Linked DNA regions of Bombyx mori. The protein of the gene in region 2 interacts with the protein of the main gene of each other region in a pairwise test. Links are inferred from orthologs where the notes say so. Each region holds a gene or a part of one and is shown on either strand. Other genes may lie near its edges. The genes, in order: trimethyllysine dioxygenase, mitochondrial; GTPase Era, mitochondrial.

Region 1 (4,501 bases), on a different chromosome or scaffold from region 2:
TTCTCTTTTGTAACGTGTACCGAAAATGTTCATAATAATACAAGATTAGAACAAATAGACACAGAACCCAGAATGCTTAATGTATTCAACAAAAATACTAATTATGATCGGCTTCGATCAACAATAGTAACTAGATTTCGGGTCGGTGCATAAAATCCGTCTCGTCAAATAACAGCGCACTTGAAATGTGAGCTCTTATTTTGTTTAGTTCACTTCAAACACAGCCAATGTCAACCCGTCTCACAATACCGCAGTGTGTATTCAAAAGTTGCAAAAATAAGGCCCGAAAAAGCAATTTAACGGCCGGAATATCTTACATTCGGTAAGTACATGAAGTATAAACTATATTGTAAGCTTTAAACTTATAAATAATATTAAATTTTGAACAAAATTACCGATTTTTAACCACCGCTACAAATGTTGGCCAAGGCTCGGCCAACACATGGACAAACTTTTGCTTAACAGAACAGTAAGTGCATGGAGTAGATTTGTGTTGTAATAATTTTTTAAAATTTGTTAGCAGCACTTCAAAATTAGTTGGTTAAAATTGGTTAATGCTGCTTTTGTGTCTGTTTGTTGGACTCTCATTAGATACTTAGCTTTCTATTTTTTATTTTAGCTTTCCTAGCAATCACGTGTGCAGAATGGATCTCGATTGTCGCCATAGAAACAAGAGATGACTTTTATAAGCCAGCTAAGATCTCCGCTTATTGACACTGGACATCTTTGCCTTCCGTGCTCACGGCTACTGAAACGTGGCCGAAACATTGTAATAAAAATACCACGCTTGAAACCGTTTAAACGTTGTTTTATTATGTGCACTGGTCGCGAAAACTTAAAAATATATATTACACAAAAACCTAACGCTAATAAAATTATAAGTAATGTATAGATACTAACACACATACATTTCCAAAACATAAAAAGTAAACAACTAAACTTTTACTTTAATTCATTAATAAATTATTTTAGTGTTAAGCGCGACTCCCTTACCTCCTGTAGTAAATAGAAATCGGCATTTCAAGAAGCAAAAATAAATAAAGCAAAACGATGTTAGTTCTCAGAGCAATTAAGGGAAAAGTTACTTTATTTGTTGCCTTTAAGATTGATTTAACATTAAAAGTTGTTTAAAATATGTCTTTTTATTTGTAAGTGACAGGAGTAATTTATTGCTTTGCTCGTTTTATGTGACGAATGATCGTAAGTATTAGATAATGTTTTAGAGATTTGTGACTTTATTATTAGGTGCCATAGTTGTTATTAGTTTGAACGTAAAAGTGTTTCAAAACTTTTTTCTCCGTTTGTTAGTAAACGAATGTAGCTATATAAGTATATATTCACGCGGACAGTTTTTGCTTTAATTTTGTACGTATCCCTTTATCTAGTTACTATTGTTGATCGAAGATGATCGGGGACAAAAAAACGGATTTTGAGATACAGTAGTCTTAGTAACTCCTAGCATGAAGATTTAAGCTGCATAATATTATCTATCTAACTGTATATTAGTTTTTCTTTCAGTTATGTGTTCTAATCTCAACTGTACCATAAATTTCAAATTTTAATCAATGATATTGTCATTATAAAGTGTATTTAATAGAGGCTTAATAAAATGCGTTTAAGAAAACATTGTGGAATATACGACCAATTGTTAACTAAAAAGAAATGCCTATCTGAATTAATTTAACCATTTGATTCAACTTGATTTATGTTTCTTTATGAAATCGGTTAATTAAGCAATTTATCAATCAAGAGATACTGATGGAATGCGGTGATATTTGGTGTTTACAGAAATGTCATTAGTTTTTACATCGCATTGCATTATTCATATCGAACGATGCGAATGCCCTCATTTCATAGGCAAATAAATTGGAAGAACAAAAACAAACTTATTTCAAGTGACTAAAATTATTTACAACCTATTTTTTTTTCAGGTGTCTGAAAAAACCACTTAAAGAGACATTCTATAAGCAAAAATTTCAAACTAAGCTTAGATAGGCTAGCAACATTACTTTTATGTTTCAATTTCAGGTTTTTGTATTGTCACGATATTATTTTTCTATATATTCATTTTAAAACAAAAAAAATAGATAGTGATCATTATTTAAATATCGATGAATAACACCTTAGTCGTTTGTGACGATGAGGGCTGTGGAGTATTCCAAACGTCAGAAAAAATTTAAGGCCCATAAAAAATGCAATATTAAGTCATAAAAGTAGCTAGAATTATGTCTACAACACGCAAAAACCCAAGAAAACACAAGAACAAATATACTGACTCCGACCGAGAATACAACACGAGAACCCACGGTACAGTTATGCGACAGGTAGGAAGTTGACTGTACCCCTGGCATTGCTGATGTCCATGGGCAACGGTAACCACTCCCCATCAGGCGAGCTGTACGCTCGACTGTATACAAAGGCCATAAAAACAATAGAGTCAAGTTCCATAAAAACTAATCAAATAAAATCCAAAAAACATTATTCAACATGAAAGTAGGTACATACTTGTTGAACGTCAAAAGAATTACCGCCAATTCACAAGAACTAGCATCCGTCCTGAGAAGAATTGGCAAGAAACTCAGCGGGCATGTCTTTTTCTTTTTTTAAATATGAAATTATTATTATTATTATTATTTTTAATATTAGATTTTTTTTAAATATGATTTTTTTACAATGACTATTATAACGTAACAATTACTACAATATTGAAATGCCCGGAGCGAGCAACTCATTCCCACAATGAAACGCTTGATCTAAAATTATAAAGGAAAAAATAACATACATTTAATTTACTTACCATACAAAACTTGAAGCAATTAAGATCATTAATTTATTGAAACGTAAAAAAAAACTTACTTTTCGCACTGTTTTCATTGAATCCGACACTGAATTCCATCTTTTCTCAACTAATGCTACATGACGACTGATATTTATATGAAACTAAACGACTGTCGTGCTAATTATCGAGACGAGCTTATCGAATTTAATTATATAATAAGACGAATACAATTACGATATGATTAATAGAGTTCGAAACAGCCGGGTCAATAAACGGCAACGATTACTATCAATTGAATTAGTGCACACACTTTGTTCCTATTTTTTCATTGAAACGCTGCTGTTTCGGCCACTCGGTACCTACGAGATCCACAGATACAAACGAAAAACTTACTTTTACTTAAAAAACTTACTTTTTTTCTTTTCTCCTACCTGTGTTAATAGCTTTGAGATGCTATTTCAGCTTCTCCTTGACGTGTAGGTGAGCTCAGGGGGCTCAAGCCGGAGTGTTGCTAGCACTGGCCCTAGCAAGAGCGGTGCTTCGCAGAATCTACCACCGGATCGGAAATGCGACTGAGAAGATCCGGCGAGACACTCAGTGGGCTGTGTCTATGAGTTTATTCGCTCGTCGAGGCCTTCGTCGCAAGCGACGGGTTCGACGAGCACGGTGACCGGTGCTTGAGGTAAAACTACTGCTTATGCGCTTCCTATATACCTAGTTATATGCGATTGCGGGACAAGCGCTAATAACTCTAATTGACTCACAGCTAACTGCGTTTTACGGCGAGTCTTCTCAGTGGGTCGCCATTCCGATCCGGTGGTAGATTCTGCGAAGCTCTCCTCTTGCTAGGGCTAGTGTTAGCAAGTTCTCTCAGGTTGAGCCCGTGAGCTCATCTGCCCGTCCGTGCATAGCTGTAATAATAGCTCCATACCATGCTCTCCATACCAGCGAATAGGTAAGGAAAAAAGGTTACTCGCCTATAATTGTATGTCCTGTTATTATGACGTCAATATGTTCACAAACGCATTTTTTATAATTTCCCTTGTTATAGCTGTTTTCGCCTTTCAATATATATATTTTATATTAAATAGATATAATATTAATATATATTTTATTGCCCTTGTAGGCAGACGAGTGCACGGCCCACCTGATGGTGAGTTGTTACCGTCGCCCATGGACTTCAGCAATGCCAGGGGCAGAGCGTAAAGATGATTTAATCCAACGCAACTTAGCTTACAATCTAATTTATTAAGGTAGAGAGCGATGTTCACTTTTTTTATAGGTTCCGGTGACTCACATAGTATATGTACATACATATATATTTAACTTAAAAAAAATTGCTTTATTTAAAATCAAAGACGTCAAACGTCGTTAAGTTTTTGCTCCCGGACATAAACACTCCGTCAAGATATTTAATTATTATTTAATGTTTCCGTGTTCTCTCGATTTGATATTGACGTCACTGTTAGTAGTAACCAACCGAAGTTTGTTTTAAATTTGTTATCACTAAAGATAGTCAAAAGTTATTTTAAAACAATACGAAAATAAAAGATATTTATTATTATTTATTATTACACACACAACAATCGCTTAAATCAGCTCTAATAGATATGAATAGGTTATATATATAGTACATTTGAGGCCATCAGCGCAAATGCGGCCATAGTCTTGCCATAGTCAACATGGAGATAATGAGTTTTGAATTAACTTTTGCACTGTTTC
Region 2 (4,427 bases):
ACCGAGGAATATTGGTAATGATTTACCCTAATATGAATGTATAGTGTCTATAAAACTACTCTTACTCACCCTTATATCTGAAACTCCATCACCATTCAAAGCAGATACCATAAACACATCCGAAAAATGACTGAAGCCTCTCTCCTGTTTATTAGGATTTGTGGGACCAGGAATAGAGTTTCCAGCAATAAATCCATTAGTGAGATTCCTCACTAAAGTCAATAACTGCTTCTTTGACCTTAACTTATCAACCTAAGGGATTAAAAAGTTTGCCAATAAGTTTAAAATAAATGTGTGTAGCTTAAAAACTAAAACACACTATAGCAAACCTAAGTAACAATTCATTAATTATTTTCTTTTATTCTGTTCCCACTGGTAGATATTAGAGCGAAATTTAAAGTTATTGTCATCTGTCCTTGATGCGTGTGTAAATTTTGAAATTAATTGTACGTCTTGACTTTAGTAAAAATAGCATTAAAAAAATCATAACTTTTAATCCCATCTCTCCTTTAGTGTTAGATTTATTTAATTTCAATAATAAAACAAGAGGAAATAGTACAAAAAGCAAAATTAATGTAAATCTTGTAAATTTTGTGATTATGATTAAATTCCCATCATTGAGATCGCTACAATACCTTATTTATGATAAGAAAACTTGGCATATCTTGTACAGAGTTCAGCATTTCAACAACATCCTTGTGTAAAGATTCTCTGATATATTTACATGATGCATCATGGACAACACCAACTACATCTGCACATCTGAGACTTTTGTGACATGATCCTAACATTGAAGGTGGGAGGTTGTATCTGTGAACATAAAGAGTGATGTTAGTGATATTAGGTAATTTTATTGAATTTAACTAAAATTATTCTTTTTTTTCATGCTAAACAATTCACAGTGCTTGAAATTGTGAAAATAAATGCTCATTGAAAAGATTTTTTTTGTTTATGGCCCACTCTAAAATAAACCACATTAATCAAATGCTATAAAAATTTTAAGAGTTTCAATACCAAGATGTGGCTGCCTGAGGGTAATCAAAATACAATTTAAGTTAATTCTAATGAAAAAGAATAAGTATGTGTACTTTCTTTTAAAGAAACAAACCTGAGCTGTTCCATCTACTAATACCACTACAATAAAACAATATTAACTACCTTAATTATTAAACAATTAATTTCCTATATTCATATACAATTATCATTCTGAACATGGGTTAATTTGAGACATGTGGCAATTTAAATTATAAGCTAGATCAAATAGCAACACAATGTGCCAACCAGTTCATCTAGAATATTGTATGGTACTTTTGGTGGTTACCAATTGACATCACCACTTTGAGAGATAAGTCTCAGTTTTATAGTACAATGACTGCCCGATCCTTGAAGTCAAAATGCATTACTACTGCCTTTGATGAAAATAAGCATGCTGGTACCACCCCATGTGGGCTCACAAGACTCTCTTCCACCAGGAGGTGTGCCCTGTCAGCTACTTACTTCTTTTGTTCTCTATCAGTTACAACACCCGGTGTATCCAGAAATACAATCTGTGTGTCATTGCAGTAACACATTGCTCTTACTAATTTGGTAGTTGTATGAACTTTATTTGAAGCAGCACATATCTATAGAAAAAAACAATATTGTGAAGGAGTTTTTTTTTTTCTTTTCAATATGTGTATGAAAAAAAAACATATCTAACAATAACGTAATAGTAATTTTAGTACTTTACACATAGTTAATAAATTAATATGTATCAATAAACATAAATCAGTTCCCATAAATACCAATATACCAAAAAATTACAATGGTACCCAATACAAAAATAACATTGTTATCATTTACATTATAAATAATTAAAAAAATATTTATAACATTTTAAATAAATGTTATTATGCAATTAACAGTTAATCCTCACAAAATATAATTTAATATATAATACAATTGTTTTAAGGATTTTGGTGTTTCAACACAGTATATTATAACATGGCCTGAACTGTAAAGAAAAGTCCATAAAAGAAAGAACATATTATCTAAAAAATAATTAAATCGTTAATTTAATAATAGCCTGTTAATTCAAATTCTCACCTTTCGGTCAATTATTTTGTTTATTAAAGTACTTTTTCCTGAATTTGGGGCTCCAATAATCGCAACATGTACGATTTTACCTATGTTTTTATTTTCAGCATGTTGTGGTTGAAATGAATAATTAACGATACGACGAGGGAGCATATTACGATAACTAAAAACACACATCCCACGAGTAATCGTAGCCATGGTTATTATGTGATATATAGTAATAATTACAAATAACCATTTAGATGTGTATTAATAAAAATTTTATGTGTTTAAAAATCTAGGTGTTATCTTTCCATTTCTTTTTTTTTTGAGGAATTTTATGACCTGGTAACTAAGACCTTTAGGTCATGTCTTATTTTAATTTATATTCTTATTTTTATGAAAAATGATAATATGTAGTGAAATGAAATGAGATGATATGGGATGAAATATAAAATATAATCTCAGTAAAATGGTGGTCATTTACTGAGATTATTATTCAGTTTATTTTTTCAGTGGACTTTTTGGAGGATCCCGAGAAGTTACGTCCAGCGACTTTGTTTCATTTTCCCACATTTGTGCACTTTCACAGATATTAAACAGTTAAAAAACCACCGTTATTACACATTTAAACCTGAAGAAACACTAAACAGACAAAACAAACAAAATTAAACAAATCACATAACTTCACTCCTCGCGTTCCCGCCAAAAAGTCACTGAAGTAGGAAACCTATGGAAATGAAACGTCAACAACAAATTTGTGCCATTGTGACGTCATCTGACCACAAAACATGACGGTTTTAGTGCTGTACAAAAGATTTCAATGTTATCAGGTTTTATCGATAAACGTTCTTGGCTCATTTTATTTTAAATATTGTTGAGTATTATTTATTTGTAGAATTTATACTTTAATGGGAAGTAAGTGGGTATATTGTTATGTGCAAATATGATATGATTTAGATGTATGAAATCTAAGACAAGTTCGTCCTTCGAATTTGCCAAGTAAACGATGTGATGATTTTTAAAAGTTGCTACACTGATTTTATAAAGTTGTCGTTTGTCGCAAAACATAAAGATATGGCGCAGTACAGTGCCATCTGCCCATTTCCAGCATGCTAAATGTTATCGTATTTTAAGTACGTGTTTTTCTTAGACTATTACAATCTATTTTAATTGTTTTGCTGACTCTAAAGTCCGTAACACACTACCGCAGCGCACCTCAAGGGAGGTGCGCCGCACCATTTGAATCACTTTCACTTGAGAGTGATTCAAATTTTAAACTTATAAAGGGACCGCGTGAAATAAAAAACACATACAGAACATTTATTCATTAATTACAAACGACATTCCTTGTGACTTCCTCTCTAAAATCACTTAATTATGAAATATTTAACGAATTTACAATAGTGTTTTACTCACGGCGGAATAAAACTATTTTATTTAAATAGTTCCGAAGAGATTTTGTCGGTAGCCTTTTTCCCGAAATATCTAAACAGAATGTCTAAATATGTTTTGATGACATATTTTAAAGAGGTATTTATGATTAGTGTCATGATCAATAGATGCCGACCGAATAGATTCCGTTTATTCATTATGTAACCATTCATATACCAAAATGAGCTTAACAAAACATAGATTCTTATGACACTAAAGTTTATTCAAAATGACCACCGTGATTTTGAATACAGGCCTTCAATCTGCGCAGCCAGTCGTCTATCGCAGCACGAACGAGGTCCATGTCAATATCGGCGGCTGCCTTAATCAAGGATGTCTTGAGTGACCCCAAATTGGGATGAGGCTTTGAGTACGCCTTTTCCTCCAAGTGTTGCCATATCTTGTAATCTAACAGATTAAAATCTAGACTGGAGGAGGGCCAGTCTTCGTGCCGGATGAAGTCGATTTCACGCGCCGCCAGCCAGTCTTGTGTGCTCTTCGCTCTATGAGCTGGCGCCGAATCTTGTTGGAATACCCAGTGCCTGTTATTGAACATGGTATGAGAAACAGGTTCCACAAGGTTCGTCAGGACTGTATTTTGATACACAACTGCATTCGTTTTTACACCTTTCTCACAAAAATGTACCTCTGTTAAGCCCCAATAAGAAGCTCCCAACCATACCATGAGCGAGGATGGAAAATGACCTCGTTGGACACGCGGAATACGGTTGCTCGCTTCTTCACTACTGTGTGCGTACACCTTATTATTTTGTTTGTTGTAGCTCTCTTCTACGGTAAAAATATTTTCATCCGAAAAAAGAATTTCCCAATATTTTTTTCCCGCGTACCGCTTCAACAAAGCGCGGCATCTCTTCAGTCTCAGGTCCATTAGACAAGCATTCAAACGATGTCCTGTTTTTCTTCGATATGCCCGAAGC

Evidence for each region.
Region 1: the proteins of GTPase Era, mitochondrial (region 2) and trimethyllysine dioxygenase, mitochondrial interact in a two-hybrid assay, tested with the Drosophila melanogaster proteins (2 studies listed by BioGRID). The link is inferred for Bombyx mori from reciprocal best matches to the Drosophila melanogaster genes CG7488 and Tmlh.

What each region holds. Positions count from the first base shown.
Region 1 is NC_085119.1:4,779,373-4,783,873, forward strand, and holds the start of trimethyllysine dioxygenase, mitochondrial, read right to left. Parts: upstream 2,974-4,501; 5' UTR 2,897-2,973; coding exon 2,857-2,896; intron 803-2,856; exon of another isoform or gene 620-802; intron 323-619; exon of another isoform or gene 117-322; intron 1-116.
Region 2 is NC_085128.1:7,078,204-7,082,630, reverse strand, and holds the start of GTPase Era, mitochondrial, read right to left. Parts: upstream 2,802-4,427; 5' UTR 2,275-2,801; coding exon 2,086-2,274; intron 1,623-2,085; coding exon 1,498-1,622; intron 811-1,497; coding exon 636-810; intron 253-635; coding exon 70-252; intron 1-69.